5 linked regions of the Mus musculus genome follow. The protein of the gene in region 2 purifies or fractionates together with the protein of the main gene of each other region. This does not show direct contact. Links are inferred from orthologs where the notes say so. Each region holds a gene or a part of one and is shown on either strand. Other genes may lie near its edges.

Region 1 (4,233 bases), on a different chromosome or scaffold from region 2:
GCCACTCTCCAATGGCCTATGCTCCCTGTGGGATCCCTGTTAGGGTTCCACCTTGGTGCTCGCCTACTCCACCCTGGGACTCCTCTCAACCCAGGTGTTTCTGCAAGTGAACTGCAGTGACAGTTTTGATTAATGTTTATTACCACTTCCTCCAACCGACAGGGATACAGGTGATGACTCCAGAGCCTAAGAGTATTTTAGTCAGTATTTGCAATGTCCCTTCCAATTCACAAAGCAAAAATCTTATGGCTAATGGAACACAATGAAGAAACTCTCTTCTCGAGCTTACCTTTCATATCCAGATAGATCTAGAAAGAGAAAGGCAGAATTCATGGAGCCCAGGGAGGGGAGGCAAAGATGGACAGGTGGGGGTTATGTAGCTAGTCTGTATTTCCTGGCATAGGCAGCTCCTACCTACTCCTATGTCCAGTGAACTCAGTAAGCTTTGGGGAGCATTGAAACCCAAAGTTCTGATTGCTTCAGTGTACAGGTGGGAACACTGGGTCTGCCCTTGAGTTAGGAGCACAGCAGGGGGAGTCAAGGACAAAGCTCTGGCCTCAGACAGACTCTCCAACAGGTGTCTGGAGGCTCACAAGGTCCTCATCCTATGACAATTCAAGGTATCAGGGAGCTGTGACACTTCTCCCCTAGTTACAGAGAGGCCCAGCAAGGCTGAGTCACCCCGGTCACCAGCAGCACTGGAGAACAAAGAAGAATCCAGTGGCTGCTGACTCCCTGCTGTGCTCTGCAGGGAGCAAAGCTCGACCTTGCAGCGCCAGAGGGTCTCTAAGTGGGGAGGGGGACAGGTGTGGCTGAAGAGAGCCGCATCCTAGCATCCTTCCTCCAATGACTGAGGCCTAGGTCACAGTGTTGACCAACCAGTTACGGTGGCCCTCAAGGTTAATGCAAACACCTCATAGCTCTCTGCAGTCTCCCAAAACTGTGTCTCTGCACCAAGTGGGTCCCTTGCTAGTCCTTACACCCAGGGTGCACACAGTGCAGCTCCAAGGAGAGCCACAGACACAGTGGACCCTGGCCTCTGCCCCCTCCTGACCTTCAGCAAGGCAAGTGACCTTTCTCACCCTTTGGTTCCTCTTTGGGAAACAAGAATAGGAAAATTAACCTCCAGGAAGGGCCATCAGTAGGAAGGCTGGTGGGAGGCAGTTTCTAAACATGAGGTATCTGAGCTACCACTATGCCTCAGTTTCTGCTCCTGGGAAATGGGAATAACCTCTGTAGCTGCTTTCACTCACTGCTGAGGCTCAGCTGTCAGTGGGCAATGAGTCATTTTGTTTAAGGGTCCCAACATGTGACTGCAGGGATGCTTCCTTTCTGATCATCTCTTATGCCCTAGGCTATGCCTAGTATACAACAGGGGCTTAATAAATAAATTAATATCAGAAGAAAGGAGGTAAAGGCAGAGGGAAGGACACAAACAGAAGAGTAATAAGGAAAGCAATGGTAAACGGCAGGTGCAGGGAGGCTAGAGGAGGGGCCAGAGAAGATGGCAAGGAGACTCTCAAGGGCCAGGAAGGTGAACCAGTCTGGTCATAAGGGTTGACCCCACGAGCTTCCCTGCCCCTCCCTAGCCCTCCTACTTTGACCTAGTTTCCATTTCGAGGGCCTAACCTTTCCTCTCAAGGCAAGCTCTACAAAACAGTTCCCGTCACCCTCCCTCAGCTACATGGAGCCCCTAGCTATGTGCTTTGGAGGACAGAGGGGAAGAAAGCCATGTGAATGGGGACCTGCCTTCCAGGTCTCAGAGCCTTCCACTCTGTGACCTGTGTTCCCGGCCCTGCTATGAGGAGTCAGAAGTGAGTGTATCCACTGCTCTGAGGATGTCAGTCCCTGCAGGCATTTTATGCCTTGCATGTGTGTGGTTAGCCTTGATGTGTCACTAAGACCTGTGGCCACATCGTGTCACGTCAGAGAGGGTTGACAGACTGCACGTACTAGCTTAGACCGTGCTTTGCAGCACCCAAGTGCCAGGCTACGTATGTCGGTGTATGCCCGCATGTGTGTAGCAACACGAGGGTGTTGTTAGAGCTGGTGCGTGTTCGAGTGGGACCTGTGTATGCTAACAGGACTGACAGCAAGAATGTGTTGACAGACTGGTGTGTGCGTGAGAGACCGTATGTGACGTCGTCGTGTCACAAATGCGAAGTGTGGCAACGACTGTCAGTGTGTGCCTGCAGAAGGGTGCTCATGTGTTTATGAGCTTGTGTGTTGTGTGTCAGCCTGCCCCAGAGCGTCCTGAAGTCTATCGACCAGGGCTGGGTGTGTGAGCTCGTCTCGGCCAGGAGCCGTGAACCCAATGGGGTGGCCCACCCTGGGTGCCTCGGTACACATGGTTCTGGCCAGAGAACCACACAAGAGACTTGGGAGGACAACAGAGTGCCAGATCCCGGGTGACGCTGACTGGAACCTCCGCCCGTGCCCTCGCCCAGGTCGTCCCCACGCGCGCGTGGGACAGGGCGGCCACCCGCACTCACCGTGTCCCTTTGTCGCCCATGGTCCGCGGCGGCCGCAGGGAGGTCCGCGGCGTCAGCGTCCAGGCTGGAAAATCCCCGGCCGCCAGGAGAAGCGCGGGCCAGCCCGCTCCCGGCTACCCCGCTCCGCCTCCTCCGCTGTCGCCGCCGCCGCCCCCGCCCGGGTCCCCGCCCGTCGCTCGAGCAGCACAGCGCCCAGGCCGCCGCCAGGGGCGTGGAGCGTGCGGGTGTGAGCGCGCGTGTATGCCTCCGTGCGCGGCTCTGCGTGTGCGCGCCCAGAGAGTGAGGGCTGCGTGGCCGGCCGCGGCTGGTCCACGGGAGCGCGTGCACGCAAGCGCGTGCCAGTGCTGGTGCGTGTGCACGGCTGTGCGCGCGAGCCTGTCGGGAGGTGGGGTGTGGAGAGAGAGAGAGAGAGAGAGAGAGAGAGAGAGAGAGTGTGTGTGTGTGTGTGTGTGTGTGTGTGTGTGTGTAGAGGTAGCACGTCTTTGTGCAGTTGTGTATGTGTGCTCACAGTCGTGGGTGCGAGCGCTCTCTCCCGCGCACGCCAGGACTGGCCTTTGTGTCTGCGGATAGAAGCAAGCGGAAAATCCGCAGACTTCAAGGCCCAGCCTCAGAGGCGCCCCTGTGTGAGGACAGCGAAAGATTCCAAAAGCCTAGCCAGGCCTTCGCCCTTTGCTCCACCCTCCCCACCCCCGCCCTTCTGGAGAGATACCACCCAACGACACAACAGGGACAGGAAGAAGGGGTGGGGGCGGGCAGCGGACTGCAATGCTGGAGAGCAGATGAGAGTGGAAAGGGGAGGGGCAGGCAGAAAGAGGAAGCAGTGAGAACAGGAGATAAAGAAGGGACCGAGAGCCAACTAGCTGGTGGCCTGTAGCATCTAGCATCATTGATATAGCACCCAGGCCTAGCTTAGGTGCCTGTAATGACTCTGGACACCACTCAGCCCATTTCAGGTCTATTGGCTGGGTCCTAAGACCAGCAGATGTCCTGTTCAATTGTTGAAGGAATCTGCTTGTTCTTGCGGGCAGACACCTGCACACAGCGGTGTCCAGCAGAGTCTACTGTCTGCAGCTTTCTTGGTATCCTTGGAAACCTTGACTTTCCTTACGTTTCCTACCCCTGGAGAAGTAGCCGGTGTGCAGTGGGAGGGTAGAGTTCAGAGGCTAAGAAGGGGTAGGAAAGGGTTTGAATCCATTTTCTCCTAGAAGGGATCTTGAGGCAGTGGGAGGAATGTAAGGTCCTCAGCCCCTCACTGCTGGAGTTTGACTAATTGGCACTGATAGGTCCCTAATATCGGAGTATTAACGATAGGAAAGGAAGCTATCATTTACTCTGATGCAATTGCGGGGTCTGGAAACATCTCCTGTAATTATGTTCAGAAGCAGTTACCTATGCTGTTTACATAGAGTGTGCTGTTTATAGAATTGGTAATAATATCCCAGGATAATGACTATAATTATGTCCAGATTGGGGAGGGGTGGGTAGAGGCTAATGGACAGGCAGGGTGGTCCACATCTGGGCAATGGTAAGAGCTAAGAGGAAGTGGATTAAGGTCTGTAACTTCACCTGCCCTTTCTTAGCCTCTGGGATCTTCCCTTCCTCCAACCAGGGCAGAGCAGGAAGCCACCTGACCCTTCTGCAGGCCGTTGTGGGGGGCTCTTGAAAGGAGCAGAGTAGGGTTCTCTATTGATAGCAGGAAGCAAACTTTGTGAGCTCAAAATCAAGAGGCCTGGTCTTGTAC
Region 2 (3,513 bases):
GGCAAGACGGGATCTTCAGCTACCCAGGCCCAGCCAGGGAAGACAGAGGACTCAGACAGCAGTAGTGAAGAGTCTGACAGTGACACAGAGATGCCATCAGCCCAGGTGAGCTCTGCCAGGCCCGAGAGCCACCGTCACCAACTCTGCTCATAAACAGATCGTGCCCCAGAGGGGAGAAAGAACAGATAGAAGTCCTAACTCCAGGATCCCTTGCCTCCAGGTCCTCCCCACCATGCCCCTGGATGAAATGAGCTGTAAGTCCCAAACCAAGGCCATCCTAGTATAGGACATCCTAGGTACTCCTACAGCTCCGCAGGGGCCTCTGCAGCACTGGGCACGGCAGTCCCATGCAAGCTGAGTCAGGTTCTGCTGAGGAACCTGGAGCTATCCTGCAAAGACACCCCTGTCAGAGTCACCAGGAAGCTTGGGCTACGGCGCAAGTCTCTGTCTAAGAAGGGCCCGTCTCGCTCAGTGATGCCTAGGCCCAAGGAGTGGAAAAGAAAGAGAAGCTGTCTCATACTCAAACCATTGTCCAGTTCTCAGCCTGGTTGGTTGCAGCGAGCAGTGGGGCTTGCTCTGGCTGACAGTCTCTAGTCTGAGCTCAGGCAGCCTGGTAGAATCGGTACGTGATGGCCTCTGGTGTCGCACCTTAGGGAGGTGGCAGCAAGATCAGAAAGAAAATGGTTGGTCCTTGTCAGTTTCAGCCGACCGTGGCTTTATAGAAACAAAGGGAATGTCACATATAAGTGGAGATTTTGTAGCTTCTCCTGAGAAACCCAGTCCTACTTGCCGATTGAGCACAGGCCACCCGAGCAGGGAGACATAGAGCCCTCCCTGGGCCTCCCTTAAGTTGGCATCACCACCAGCTCTTCTTCACTGATTGACAAGTTCTGTGGCTTTGGACCACCCGGCCCGTGAAGAATGCTCTTAACAGGGCTTAAGAAGTGTCACTCTTCCGCATTTTCCCCTCACTGGGAACCCTCCCGTGTCACGTGCTTACTCAAGTCTTGTCCCCTCCAAAGGATGCTATCTCCCAGCCTGCCAGAGGCAAAGCGTCAGGTCCAGCGTCCCCAGAGAAGAGCATAGAAGGGTCCTCAGAGAGCAGTGATGAGGATCTGCCCTCCGGCCAGGTAGGCTGTAGCTACTCTAAAGGCTGCCCCTGGCTGGGCCAGGCTGCCGCTCTCTGTGAGAGGGTGCAGCTTCCCAACAGGGATAGTCTCACCACATGCAGGTAGCACTTCACAGCTCCTAGCTGTCTTCTGATACACTCCTGGTGTGGTCGGGCCTCAGGCTTCACACCCCTGGCTCCACTCTGCTGCCCAGGAGCCTTTTAGGACTCTGATGTTTTATGTAAACTGGAGTTGGTCATGGTGCCCAGGCACCTGCCTGAGCACTGTTAGGCGGGCACGTTGTCCTGGCGGCCTGTTCGGGGCCAGGGTTGAGGCCCCTTATCTTCTCGTGAAGAAGTTTGAGGAACCCAGAACACTACTGCCCAAGCCTCTCTGGTCCCCATGGACAGTTGGGGCTCTAGATCCTCCCTTGCGACCTTCGTTGGAATCTGTGGGCCCCACCCCAGGTCAGGCCTATGCAATTTATGGCACCTGCTCATTGTCTGCTGGTCCCCACTCCTGCCTGGCCTTGTTCCCAAGGGTGAGGTCCGGGACACCTTCTCTGATTTCAGGAGCCCAACATAGCCACCAAGATGGTACAAGCTCTGTGTGAACCCAGGCCTTTGTAGAGGCAGCACTGCCCTCTTTCTGAGGGAGTAGGGTATTTCCATTTGAAGGAGAGAGGGGCCTGTGACTCTGAGGCAGCTCAGAGAACATTTGAATCCTGGCAGTCTGCACTTTCTCCTGCCCAGCTGTCCCTTTAGCCCCCTTCCAGGCTTGGCTTTTGCCCTCTGGCTCTGCAGTCTTTCTGAGGTACCTCCCTCACTCCTAAAGGACAGACAGCCAGTATGGAAGGTTGCCTTGGTTTTTCTCTGTGTGAGTAGACTTGCACAATTAAAATGAGCATTATGCTAAAATTGAACCTTTAAAGTGGTCTTGCAGATCTGGGGGTCTCTATTTTGAAAAAAAACAAAGCCAATAATTTTCTAGGTTCCCAGAAGGAATTCAGGGAAACGGGCACAGCCCAGGAAGCTGTGGTTTCCCTCTGGGAGAGTGCTAGCCTACGCGGGATTGCTGTCGCTGTTGGGCATTTATGAAGCACTTCTCTATGGAGAGCTGCAGATGGTCCTTCCTAGGGCTCCCCGTCTGGTTGGTTGTTTTTCATTAGCCTGTCCGTGGGAGAAAAGGCCGGGTAGTCCAGCTCTGGGCCAGCTCTGATCCCAGGTTCTGTCCTGCAGCTCTGTGTAATGCCGTGTGGAGTGTAAGCCTCAAGCTGAGGCTGGCTGGAACCCGGGGTGGCTACAAGTTAGAAAGAAGTGGGCATGTGAGGTAATGCAGGCACGAGACGGCATGGCTGATCCATTCTGTTGTAGCCATGTATCGTACTGCGTCACGCACATAGTCATGCGTAACCTCCCACATAAATTATTATTAAATGTATCAGCGTTTGCCTGCATGTATGTATGTATGTGCACCACATGCCTGCCCGGTGCCTGTGGAGACGAGAAGAGGGTGTCAGATCCCTCTGGAACTAGAGGTACAGACAGTTGTGAGGTGCTCTGTGAATGCTAGGAATCAAACCCAGGTCCTCTAACCTCCGAGCCATCTCTCCAGCCCCCTTAAATTGTTTTAAAGGCTACTTCAGCTGCTGTTTTGCCAAAACAAAGGCATAGGCTATGTCCTTATTGAGTGAGAACAGGGGACCTGTTAAAAAAAAATCTAAATTTTAGAATTAAGTCAAGGCTTGCATGGTTAGGTCTGGCTCCCAGAGCGCTTCCTTCCAGTCCTGTATCTTGAAACCAGTTTGCTGGTCGTCCTGGACGAGGTGCTTGTCCACTCTGAGAGCCTCAGCCTCAGCTCCGAGTCAGACTGGGGTTTATAAACCTCAGGTCTCCTAGCTGCATCCCCAGAAAGTGTCGTTTCTAAGTCTCATGGGGAAGGATGAGCCCCCAGGTAATAGTCATCTTCCTCCTCTCTGGGGGGGGCGGGGAGGGGTCCTCAGGGGGTCCCAGTGCTGAGGACACACCCTCCACTGCACTGCACCTCTAGCCCCACAAAGCTGCTTTGAGGGAAGCTCTCGGTGACTGTCCCCTTCGACAGAGCTCCACCTCCCCTCTCTGCCCCAGACTAACTGGAATAAGTAGATAGAAGCCCAGCTAAGACAGCGGGCAGTGGGCACCGCCCAAAAGGGCCCCAAATCTGCTTCTGTAAGCATCATTCCTGCAAATAGGTAGGGTATCCCCCTAATCTGCTCTCAGCACCCCAGGGGGGTGGAGGTGAGATGCTCAGGTGGCTGTGGCGGTAGCGTCCTCTTCCACCGCTTTGCCTCTCTGATCAAAGCACAGCCCACACCCGCTGGGCTTTGTGCTTTCCCCAGGTGACCACACGCAGCACCCACCACAGA
Region 3 (4,212 bases), on a different chromosome or scaffold from region 2:
GGTCCATGCATAATATGACCTTCAGGGTCCCCTTTGTAACCAGCATGGTAACCGTGGGCCAAGAGCACTGTGTTGACTGAAGGCCTCCTGCCCGGCAGACACTGAGTGACCTGGTGGTGATCACCCAGCCCTAGTCATGCCTTCACATTGTTTTCACAGGGAGGGGACAGATGGCAAACCAGGAGAGGACTCATGCCAAGCTGTAGTTTTACGAAGGGCATGGAGGAGTCGCTGAGAGAAGTATCAACTTCAGAGAAAGTGGCCTCTAAGGTGAGATTTGAAAAAGAAAGCCAGTCATTTGTGGGGTGGCAGCGGTACCCCGTGGCCAAGCTCAGAGAGAAGAAGAAACTGAAAGACGGGCATGCGCTATTCTCAGGGAAGGAAAGGTGTAGAGTTTAACAACAGCGGGAACATGTAGTGTTTTAATATGGAGCAGTCCTTAGTCTCTGTACAGCTCTGTGAAGTCGGTGCTGGGTTGATGCTACAAAATCTGTAGCACGGAGACGTTGAGTCATTGGTTCAAATCTGCATTCCTTGCAAACTATGGAACCGGGACTTGAACCTCGATAGTTCGGTATGTGAAGAAAGAGGAAACGTGGCCTCATCTAGAAAACAGTGTGTGGGGGGGAGGGAGAGGGGGAGTTTAGAGTCAGAGCAACCTGGGCTGGAAGAAGAGATCCTTGTTGTTAAAGAATATGAACAGGAAAACAAGATAGCCGGGGACCCCAGGACATCAATGAGAGAGAAGACTGTTCAAGAAGTCCTCACTCCCCAGCTCTCCCTCCTCCCAAACAAACAAACAAACAAAATGGATATTTACATTCTCAAAGTATGATCCACAAATTACAGGTTCAATACAAAGGGGGAAAAACCCAGTTAACTTTATGGGGAAACTATCTGGTGGGCTCTGGTTTAAGCAAGTGGCCCAAAGGATGGCTCAGTGGGCTCTCAGGGAGGAATCTGGATGGGGAATTGGGAGGCGAGGGTAGCTTTAGGACTAGTTTGGTTTTCCTCTTGAAGGAAGGGATCTGTGGATGGCAGGGTGGGGTCCAGAGTGGGAAGAGGAGTGAGGAAGGGGGACAGTTTGAGGGGAGGGTTCTTGGGTTTCAAAGAAAGTCAGCTCAGGGCCAATATGGGAGGTCGTGGTGGGTGGACACGAGGTGACTGGACAGTGGAACTATGCTAAGCGCGGCGGCAGTCAAAGGTAGAGACTTCTGGGGGGTGGCCTGCAGTTGGGCAGGCAGCCGGCCACATTGCTTGGAGGGTGGCGAGCTCGCTGAGGGGGCGGGCGCCGGCCATAGTCCCCCCGCACTGTAGGGGGCGCTGTGGGCCGGGGCGGGCCGGGGCTGGGCGGCGGCCGCTCCTGGCGAGTGCGGCCCCTTTTCCGGGTTTCCTCCGCCTCCTCCTCCTCCCTCTTCGCCGCCGCCGCCGCTGCCGCTGCCCCTCTCCCGACCGGTGGCTGCCGCTGCCGCCACCACCGCCTCTGGGGGGCCGCGAGCCGAGCGGAGGCCTCCGCGGAGCACGAACCCCGCCGTCCCTCCGGCAGCCGAAGGCCCCGGGCCGGCTCGGCCGGCGCCTTCCGCGCCCCCCGGCCCGAGCGTCCGTCCGTCCGCCCGCCCCCGCGGGCCCGGCCTGGCGCGGACGCCCGCCGCCGCCGCCGCGCTCCTCCTCTTGCTTGGGCAGCCCGCGGCCCGCCGCTTCCCGTGCCTGCCGCCCCGCGCCCCGCGCCGCGCCGCCGCCGCCCTCGGCGCCCCGCGGCGCCCCCCGGTCCCGCCCGCCATGCCCGGCCCGGCCGCGGGCAGTCGGGCCCGGGTCTACGCCGAGGTGAACAGCCTGAGGAGCCGCGAGTACTGGGACTACGAAGCCCACGTCCCGAGCTGGGGGTAAAGCCGCCGCCGGCCGCCCCACGCGCGAACCGCACCCGCCGGCCGCTCGGCCTCGGGGCTGGCAGGGAGGCCCGGCCCCGGCCGCACGTGTCCCCGGCCTCTCCTGTCCGCCCTGCCTCGGTCCCCGGCTCAGCCGCCGGTGGGGAGAAGCGTGGGGTCGGGGGTGGGGGCGGCCCTTCCTCCTCAGACTTTGGGCTTCCTATGGGTTGGGAAGTCCATGGCTGTCCTCTTGAGCTGTTGAAATCTCTACCTCTTTACTTTCTGAAATGAGGCTGGGTGGGAGGGTCATTTTGAAGAGGGGCAGATTGTCTAGAGCGGGCAGTGCCCCCTGGAAGGTGTGAAATGGGAGGCAGGTGCCGTGGAGCCACGGGCAGGGCACCCCAGTACCACCAGGGGGGATGCTTCCCTTAGTCCCCTTAATGGCTCCTGAGGCCTTGTAGCTGCCCATTCCTCTTCTTGTTAAGAGTCAGTTAGGTTAGGAGCTCTGCAGAGTGAAGGGAGCCAAGCTTCTGTGTGGCTCTCATTTAAGAGAATGAGTTGCTGTGTGATGGTAGGAATACTTCCGAATGCTTGATTAGTTGGAGATGGCGGATGGATGTGTGGTGGACAGAGGCTTGCTTAATCCCAAATCCTGGCATTTATGTATATCTCTTGCCTTTCACAGTAATCAAGATGATTACCAACTGGTTCGAAAACTTGGTCGGGGCAAGTATAGTGAAGTATTTGAGGCCATTAACATCACCAACAATGAGAGGGTGGTTGTAAAAATTCTCAAGGTGAGTGGCCAACGGTGGCATGTAACCTTTCCCCCCACAGGGCAAAAGAACCAGCTATCCCAGAATAAGCATCTCCTACAGGACTCCTACCATGCTTTTCCTTGTGAACTTTTGAGAAAATGTGCGGGCTGGTCTTAATTCTGAGTTTGGTAGGTCAGGAACATTTAAAGTGTGAATTCTGAACTTCTCAAACAAAGCTTGTGAGGGGGGACTGTATCTGATATGGAATAAAGAGGTATTCGCAAGAGAGGAAGGAGTTTGCATGGAGAATCTGTCAACTGTAGGGATTCTAAATCTGTACTCGTTACTCTCTGCTCCCAGTTACTCCAGAAAAAGTCCGGAAAACCCAAAACAAAACAAAACTGGAGTCTGCTCAGAGATAAGTTTAAAGCCAAAAATTCAGGACAATTCCCTCAGTTGATATTTTCATTTCATGTAGCAGTAAAGTTTCAGGTGGGCTGGATATAGCAAGCCAGCCGCTAAGAGATCTGGGGCAACAGAAGAGTACATTCTAGCCCCTGAAATAATAACTGGAACAAAACTTGTCTCTGTGGCAAGACTAGCCCTCTCGCTTTGATAATGATAGGGCTTTTGTTATCACTCAAATGAAGACATGATCTTAATGAGCATGAAGAGTCAGCCAAGTTTCTGTACAGGTGATTGAAGATTCAATAGTGCTTTGTAGGTTGTTCGAGAGGGTGGTTCGTAGGACCTGAGCGGTTCTTCATGGTTGTCAAGTCATTTAAATGCATATGCTTGTCACCTTAGGATCTGGGCAGTTTTTCATGTTGTCAGATCACTTAACATGTATGTGTGTCACTAGTGAAAGAGCACTGGAGAGTGGTAGTGTTTCACCAGATTTTCACAGTGCCCAGTGAACAAAAATGCAGGATTGAAAAGCTTGTGCCTTAGGGCAGTTCTTATTTAATTGTGTAGATTTTAGCGTTGTGTGAATCACCTTTCAAAAAAAATGGCTGCTGCTAATGCTCCTTACCATCCTGGCCTAGTGATGAAGGAGCAGAGTTGCTGCAGAGATGGGTGATGCTATTGCTGCTGCCCAAGACACTGGGGTGAGAAGGAAGGAATGATGGCAGATAGGGAGCTTGGCCCCGCTAAGTATGAGTTGTACATTGGAGGTCTGTAGTTATGGGAGGGGTGTGTTTTAAGCAGAGAAATGTTTCCTTCAGGGAACTTGCTGGAGGAAACCATGCAATTTCATTACTTACATAAACCTGTTTTGAATAGAAGTTACTTCAGACATTTTCATTTTAAGGATAAGCAAAAACAAGCATAGTTGGGAATATCCATGTTCTGTTGCTGCACATTTGGAGGATTGAATTTGCCAAGTCTAAAGCAATTTCAGGGAAATGTCTAAATGTCTGTGCAGTAGCATTTTGGGACTAAGTGCTGTTTGCTGTGGAGTGTTTGGAAGGGAACAGTGCTCAGGTGTGTGTAAGCCCCAGTGTGTTTAAGGAAACATAGGGTTAGTAGTTTCCCATGGTTCTTGTGAGGAACTTCAGAGATGAGTTGCTTGATAGTTTTTCCTCTGC
Region 4 (2,887 bases), on a different chromosome or scaffold from region 2:
TATAGAGACACCCTTAGAAGTGAGATGGGTTCTGAAGACCGGCGCTTGGGTCCCACCTCTAACCCTTACTCACTCTTGTTCTAGCTGAGCCACGGGACACTTGTACTGCGCGGTGCTGAAGAGGCAAATGTCGGCGTACTGTCTCACTGTGGGGGCAGGGGACCAAGTGGCTTTGGGTGACACAGACAATTCGGCACCACAACCCCCGACCACATGGTGGAAACCCCATGGGGGCAGCACACCTCCACCTTCCACCCCTGGCCAACAGACCTACTATAGTAAACACTAGGGCCATGTATCTCTTCTGGAACAGACTCAATTCTTTATGGCCCGGTAGGTTTCCCACACTGCGACACGGCCTGGGCTGACATGGCAGCAGCAGCCTTTCTAAGTAGGGACTTCCTTCCCTATCCCCATGCCCACCCCCACCTCCTACCAGACACTCTGATCTTCTTGACGGTCTTGGCAGAATTGTTGGTGACATGGACGTTGACATTAAGGGGCTCCCCGTGGTAGTACAGCTTTTGAAGAGAAGAGATTGCATCGCTTGTACCTGTTTTTTTTTTTACTGACCCCACTGGCCTGCTCCACCCCCAACTCCTACCCACAGTACCTCTACCCAAGTAAGGCAATAGCCTTAAGAAAAAAAAAAACAACAAAAAGCCTCCCAAATCACCATCTTGCCTGTGGCTTCACCCCTCCTCCCAGGAGTCTGGCCTGCTTTGTGACATCTTTGTCACCCTCTCACACCTCACCTCTTTGTCCAGGGAAGCCTCTAGGTGGAGGGACCTCCGGTCAGACATGAGGAAGTGGCGTGTGGTTTCAGCTGAGGGCTGGGGACCGGGTGTCTCAGGAGCAAACTGTACCTTTCTGATGATAAGCCGCACAGAGTTCCTGAGTCAGGGGTTGGAGGAGGGGAAAGACTTAGATTCAAGATACCACAAGCCAATTCAGATTCCTACCTCCCACTGGGGTCTGGGGCGCTGTGAGGCTGGGTGGGAGCCGTTAAACCAGAGAGAGAGAGAGAGAGAGAGAGAGAGAGAGACAGAAAGAGAGAGAGAGTGAGTGAGAGAGCTGTTTCTCTTACCTCTTGTGACTTTTTTCTTCTATTGATTTGGCACAGAAAGCTCGAATCTCAAAGTCTACTCCACAAGCCTTGGGAAGAGGAGGAAAGGCCACCTCTTACCCAAGGCTCCCGGTACCACATCCAACACACCCCCTCCTTCCTCCTTGCTTCATTCCTGTTGGTGTGGATTTTTTGCCTCATCATGGAAACAGAGGAACTCTCTTGCCCCACTGTCTCTCTCTCTAGCCTGGCATCTGGCAGAGGCTGGCTCATGGCAGTGCACAGAGGAGACCCCATACCCAGCCAGGTACATGCAGGTCAGAGAACAGATTCAGTGACCACACACCTCCCTGGGGATACCACCCTGTCCTCAGGAGCCCCCTACACTTCACCCTCCAGCTCAGCTGTGCTTTGTGTATCTAGCTGAGCCTGGTTCTATTCACATATTGTGAGAGTCGTCCCTCCCGTACCTTCCCTGTGTCCTCTGGTCCTGGCTGCAGTGTGACGGAGCAAGGCAAATTTTGGGGTATCTGTGGCAGAGGAAAAAGGAGGCGTTTCAACTGGTAACAGGTGCCTCATCCCATGTCAATCCCAAAGAGCCCCAGACCCCAAGCCCTGCGGGAAATGGAGAGCATCCTCACCGTGAAAAAGAAGGGGTGGGCGTGTTGGCCCAACTTCTTCAGCAGTCGGTCCTGTAGGCGGGTGGGGGGCCGAGGTGGGTTGGGCATGGGGGGGAAGGCCTGGTAGGTGGCGATGAACAGATCTTTGCGGAAAGACAGGCCCAGTACATCCAGGTCTTCTCGGCCATAGCGGAAGGCACAGGTGAGGGTCACGAACACTGACAAGTAAGGGTGAGTCAGGGTGATTAGGAGAAGCCCCTTTCTTCACGGCACCCACATCCTTCTTCGGCATAACAGACTTCCCGGAATCCTATTCCCTGCCTCTGATGCTGCCTTCCTTTCCTCTCTTATCAATGTCAGCCCATCTAATGTTGTCTTCTCCCCTCCAGCATACATGTAGTACCTTTCCGGTCCTTCAAGTAGTCAGGATCCACAAGCACCACGCCATCTAGGAAAGAGAGATGGATTCATTTTCTGAAGGGGGCCACTCCCAGACCCAGGAATCACCTCCCCTCTTGCAGGGGTGATGTGTTGGTGCCATCTAGGCAAACTTACCCACAGGGTCCACTTTGTCCAGGTGATCTACAAAGTCGCGCTTGCCCAAGTACACGGTGAGCTGAGGAGGTCAAGGGTCACAGGGGAAATTGGGGAGGATGGTGGCAAGCCACCAGAGTTCTCAAAGGTGGGTGTCCTGTTCTGGGCTCCCCTTGGGTGGGTTATCAGGAAGGATTGTCTCCCAGTATGACTGGAAGGTGAGATTGGTAGAGTTTTCCAGACAACTTAGTAAAACTTTCGTTTAAGCTTTTACCTGCTTTCCACACCTCTGCCCACCCACGGAGGGTCGGTACACATAAGTGTGTGTTTATGTGTGTTTCTATGTCTTCAGGGAACACTCAGCCAGACCAGGCAGGTAGCAGCTGTCCCCACAAAGGGCTCTGAGATAAACAGCCCACAGCCTGGGAAACTATTAACTATTCCTAGCTCAGGCACCCTGGGTTGGTTTCTAAGAGAGTTACAAGCTTGCTTAGGAACCCAGACCCCACCCAGCCCTGTGGCTTCTTCAGACTGCGGCAAGGGGCTTAAGGAGGGAAGGAAGTCAGTCTGCTTTTAGCTGTCACAGGAAGTGGGGAGCAAAGGCTTGGGGATCATCGAGGGCTTTGATCGGGCCCAGGGAGGATCAAAGGGTAAGCATCGAGGGGGA
Region 5 (4,064 bases), on a different chromosome or scaffold from region 2:
GGCCAGCCTGGTCTACAAAGTGAGCTCCAGGACAGCCAGGGCTACAGAGAAATCCTGTCTCGGAAAAACAAAACAAAACAACAACAAAAAAATCATTTGCCACCATACCTATGAGAATAAAAGTTTTCTCAACTGGGGTTAGTGTCTATTAAGTGTCATTAAAGCTCACCAGTTTGGTTTTGATCACCATCTTGGTTTGTGAATTTTTTTTTTTTTTCTTTTTTTCCGAGACAGGGTTTCTCCGTGTAGCCCTGGCTGTCCTGGAAGTCACTTTGTAGACCAGGCTGGCCTCGAACTCAGAAATCCGCCTGCCTCTGCCTCCCGAGTGCTGCGATTAAAGGTGTACGCCACCACCGCCCGGTGGTGTGTGTATTTTAAAAAAAACGATTTTGAGGCCGGGCGTGGTGGCGCAAGCCTTTAATCCCAGCACTCGGGAGGCAGACGGATTTCTAAGTTCGAGGCCAGCCTGGTCTACAAAGTTAGTTCCAGGACAGCCAGGGCTATACGGAGAAACCTTTCTGTCTTGGAAAAAAAAAAAACAAGCCAAAACAAACAAACAAACGATTGTGTATGCATAGAAGCACCTCTGGGAAATAGGATAACGGGTCCTTTTAGAAGGAGCGCCTGTTTTGAGGAAAGTAAAAGAAAGGTATTCACCGGAAGTGCATCTTTATTGCTTCCTGACCTGGACAGTAGCTGATACTGAAGTTTTCCGAATTCACTGTGACTTCTTTCTTTAGGAAGAAAGGATTTTTCTTGATCTTTTCCCTGGGATGGTCCCGTGTTCCTGTTCTCCGAATTGTAGATGGGAAGGATAACTGTCTTGTAACCTAGCTATGACTGACAGACAATGTGGGGTACCAACACCTTGTCACCACAACTTTTAGGATCCTCTGATTTGAGTCTGGGTCTGGGTGGTATCCTGAAGGACTTCACTGGGTGTGAAGGGAGGGAGGAAGCCATTGTCCGTGGGAGTTTGAGCAGTAGGTGACACCTCTAGAAGGGTTGAAAGAGCCTCGAGTTCTCCAGTGCACCCATTATTGTTAGTCCATTCAGTACTGTGAGGTCTCAGTAGCAGCCAGGGCTTGGAAATCTACAGTAGGAAGAAGCCCATTCAGCAAAGGTAATGCGCGGGAATTTGCAAGTTTTCCCGCCTCGGACAGGAGCGTGGCATCTGACGTAGAAGCTCCGCCTCCTTAGTGGGCGGCTCGTGGGCTCCGCCCCCTGCAGGATGATGACGCGTGTGGGACCGGAAGCAACTTCTAGATTTAGTCTGGGTCTCTCCTCCCGGGTGGAGGGTACGCGACCTCGTGTGCGCCACTCTTTTCCGCTGCGCGCCGCGCGCGACTTGATGACGACACTGGACCCGCCCTCGACCCGGGCTGTGCTTTGGTGTTCTTAAGTCGTGCCGCGTGCGCAACGGTAGTGACGCGTTTTACCCGGAGCATGGCGGATACCGGCTTGCGCCGCGTGGTTCCCAGCGACCTTTATCCCCTTGTGCTCAGATTTCTGCGGGATAGCCAACTCTCGGAGGTGGCCAGTAAATTTGCAAAAGCGACCGGCGCTGTGAGTCCTTGGTTTGGTCTGCGGGCCGGGGTGGGACGACTCTCCGAGCTAATCTAGGCCTTGTCGGCTTTAGAAGTTAAGGAGGCGAGGGCTGGGGTCTGTCAGTCCGTTGTCTGCCCAGCTTCTCTGCGGACCTTCCTCAGGCTGGAGGTCTCGGTGTCTCCTTCCACCATGTCTGACTAGCTAGCTCCGAGTATTACGGCTTTTACTTGGTGTGAGTTTTTGCAGCGGTGACAGGCATGGGTCCCTCGTGACCCAGGACATGTGGCGCTAGATCCCTCCGGGAGCATTGGGTTGGCGGTGCGTGGTTCTTCTGTACTTTTTGTTGGACTTACCCTTAATTGCAGTTTTACCTGAGACTCAAAGATTTTAGTAATGAAGGCTTGGATTCTATTTATACACTTGTTTGTTTTTACAAAAGAAGATGAGTGAGTGCAGGGATAAATTGCGAAGTAATGATAGCTAGGACTTCATATTGTATTTACTTATTTTTTTAAAAAGAAAAAAATGAATGAGTGTGGTGATAGGTTGCTTTCAGTATACTCTAGGAGTAGTGAGCGTCCGCCTGTGTTAAGTTGGCACTGAGCTTGGAGCTCCAGGTAGTGATGTTAGGCCAGGCTCTGCGGCTTTCTGCATGTATGATCCCAGCAGCCTTTTGTTTGAGACAAAGTTCATGTAGTCCTTGTGTAGTGGAGGATGGATATGAACTTCTGTACCTCTTGTCACAGCCTCTTCATGCTAAGTGCCTTACTGCCCTGCAGCACACTTTGTATACCATACTGGCCTTGAACTCAGCTCAGTCTCTGTCTACCAAGTGCTGGGATTAAAGGTGTATATCACCATGCTCAGCCCAATTTACAGCTTTTGAGTGAATGAGACTCACTGAGAGAAAAATGCACAAAGTAGTAACTCCATTGTAGGCACACAGGAACATGGGGTGAGTGACAGCTGTTATGTAAGAGCAAAATGTTTACTCTGCACCTTAAGAAAAGCTGTAGCGGGCTGGAGAGACGGCTCAGCAGTTACGACCACTGACTGCTCTTTTAGAGGTCCCGAGTTCAATTCTCAGCAACCAACCACATGGTGGCTCACAACCATCTGTAATGGGATCAGATGCCCATTCTTCTAGTGTGTCTGAAGACAGCAAAGATGAACTCACATAAATAAGGGGGAAAAAAAATGAAAGAAAAGCTGTAGTGTTCGTGGAAACACCTTGAAAGGCTGTAGGCCTTAGATCCTGGGACTCTTGGGTTATAGGCCACCAGATCTTTTGAGATAGGTTACTTCTTTGTAGCAAAATACAAAAAGGTGATTTTTGCCACAAAAGGAAAGATCAGGTCAGTCTCATAATAAGGGAGTTCTTTCAGCCGGGACAGCCTGACATGTGATCTGGTAATACATCCCCCAACCCCCCCCCCCAACTCCATGTGCTCTGAATTGATGGACCATCTAGCCAGTGCTCATTATTACTCTCCTCTTCTTCCCTCCCTCCTATTTTACTTTATTTTTTTGGTTTTTCGAGACAGGGTTTCTCTGTGTAGCCCTGGCTGTCCTGGAACTCAGTAGACCAGTCTGGCCTTGAACTCAGAAATCCGCCTGCCTCTGCCTCTGCCTTCCAAGTGCTGGGATTAAAGGTGTGTGTCACCACTGCTCGGCACCCTCCCTCCCTCCTTAAGGCAGGGTCTCTATGTTCTGGCTGTCCTTGAACTCACTATGTAGACCAAGCTGGCTTAAACTCCGATCTGCTTGCCTCTCCTTTCCATGTGCTAGAGTTAAAGGCGCGTGCCACCGTACCTCGCACCTTTCTGTTTGCTTACAGTTTATTCTGCACATTTGTGTTTTGCCTGCATGTCTGTCTGTGTGAGAGCTGCCATGTGAGTACTGGGAGTTGAACCTGGGTCTTCTGAAGGAGCAGACAGTGCTCTTAACCACTGAGCCACCTATCTAGCCCTGCCTTTCTGCCTTTAAAAGTCATTTAATTAGAAAAAAAAAAGTTAATAGTTAGAAATTATGAGGCCAGAGATGTCAGAAGCTCTGTATGTGGAGTTAACAGGTACTGTTGCGTCTCCTGTTCTGGGTGCTGGTAATGAACTCAGGTCCTCTGGGAGAGTAACATGCTCTCTCAGCGACTTAGCCATCTCTCCAGCCCTCAGCTAACGCTCTGTTATCAATTGGTACAACATTTCTAAGACTTTAAAAGATATGGAAAGGCACAGGGATATACCATAAAGTTTTCACGCTCAAAGTTAGGTGATATGTAAGCGTAATATTTTCCTCCTGAGTTATACAAGTAGGAAAAGTCTTAAGATGTAACATCCATTTTGAGTTAAGTAGGGAGATAGCATAACTTTTGAGACAAGGTCTCTTTACATAACCCTGGCTGTCTGGAACTCTGTATGTAGTCCAGGTGGGCCTTGAACTCACTGATCTGCCAGCCTCTTTCTTTGAAGTGCTGGGACCATGCCTGGCTGACAGATTACATTTGATCAAGGAGTAAC

What was found.
Region 1: the proteins of Tcof1 (region 2) and Arrb1 purify together in Homo sapiens (affinity purification with western blotting; 5 studies listed by BioGRID and IntAct, with this or other methods). This does not show direct contact. The link is inferred for Mus musculus from reciprocal best matches to the Homo sapiens genes TCOF1 and ARRB1.
Region 3: the proteins of Tcof1 (region 2) and Csnk2a2 purify together in Homo sapiens (affinity purification with mass spectrometry; 3 studies listed by BioGRID and IntAct, with this or other methods). This does not show direct contact. The link is inferred for Mus musculus from reciprocal best matches to the Homo sapiens genes TCOF1 and CSNK2A2.
Region 4: the proteins of Tcof1 (region 2) and Arrb2 purify together in Homo sapiens (affinity purification with western blotting; 4 studies listed by BioGRID and IntAct, with this or other methods). This does not show direct contact. The link is inferred for Mus musculus from reciprocal best matches to the Homo sapiens genes TCOF1 and ARRB2.
Region 5: the proteins of Tcof1 (region 2) and Nolc1 purify together in Homo sapiens (affinity purification with western blotting; 4 studies listed by BioGRID and IntAct, with this or other methods). This does not show direct contact. The link is inferred for Mus musculus from reciprocal best matches to the Homo sapiens genes TCOF1 and NOLC1.

Annotation. Positions count from the first base shown.
Region 1 is NC_000073.6:99,534,058-99,538,290, reverse strand, and holds the start of Arrb1 (beta-arrestin-1), read right to left. Parts: upstream 2,806-4,233; 5' UTR 2,513-2,805; coding exon 2,493-2,512; intron 1-2,492. UniProt on the Homo sapiens protein: Functions in regulating agonist-mediated G-protein coupled receptor (GPCR) signaling by mediating both receptor desensitization and resensitization processes.
Region 2 is NC_000084.6:60,824,957-60,828,469, reverse strand, and holds part of Tcof1 (treacle protein), read left to right. Parts: coding exon 1-105; intron 106-1,022; coding exon of another isoform or gene 1,023-1,130; intron 1,131-3,513.
Region 3 is NC_000074.6:95,486,015-95,490,226, reverse strand, and holds the start of Csnk2a2 (casein kinase II subunit alpha'), read left to right. Parts: upstream 1-1,406; 5' UTR 1,407-1,779; coding exon 1,780-1,883; exon of another isoform or gene 1,884-2,025; intron 2,026-2,066; exon of another isoform or gene 2,067-2,550; coding exon 2,551-2,662; intron 2,663-4,212.
Region 4 is NC_000077.6:70,435,578-70,438,464, reverse strand, and holds part of Arrb2 (beta-arrestin-2), read right to left. Parts: intron 2,303-2,887; coding exon 2,242-2,302; intron 2,135-2,241; coding exon 2,090-2,134; intron 1,905-2,089; coding exon 1,708-1,904; intron 1,597-1,707; coding exon 1,537-1,596; intron 1,156-1,536; coding exon 1,088-1,155; intron 895-1,087; coding exon 756-894; intron 522-755; coding exon 437-521; intron 211-436; exon of another isoform or gene 147-210; coding exon 74-146; intron 1-73. UniProt on the Homo sapiens protein: Functions in regulating agonist-mediated G-protein coupled receptor (GPCR) signaling by mediating both receptor desensitization and resensitization processes.
Region 5 is NC_000085.6:46,074,584-46,078,647, forward strand, and holds the start of Nolc1 (nucleolar and coiled-body phosphoprotein 1), read left to right. Parts: upstream 1-1,263; 5' UTR 1,264-1,446; coding exon 1,447-1,566; intron 1,567-4,064. UniProt on the Homo sapiens protein: Nucleolar protein that acts as a regulator of RNA polymerase I by connecting RNA polymerase I with enzymes responsible for ribosomal processing and modification.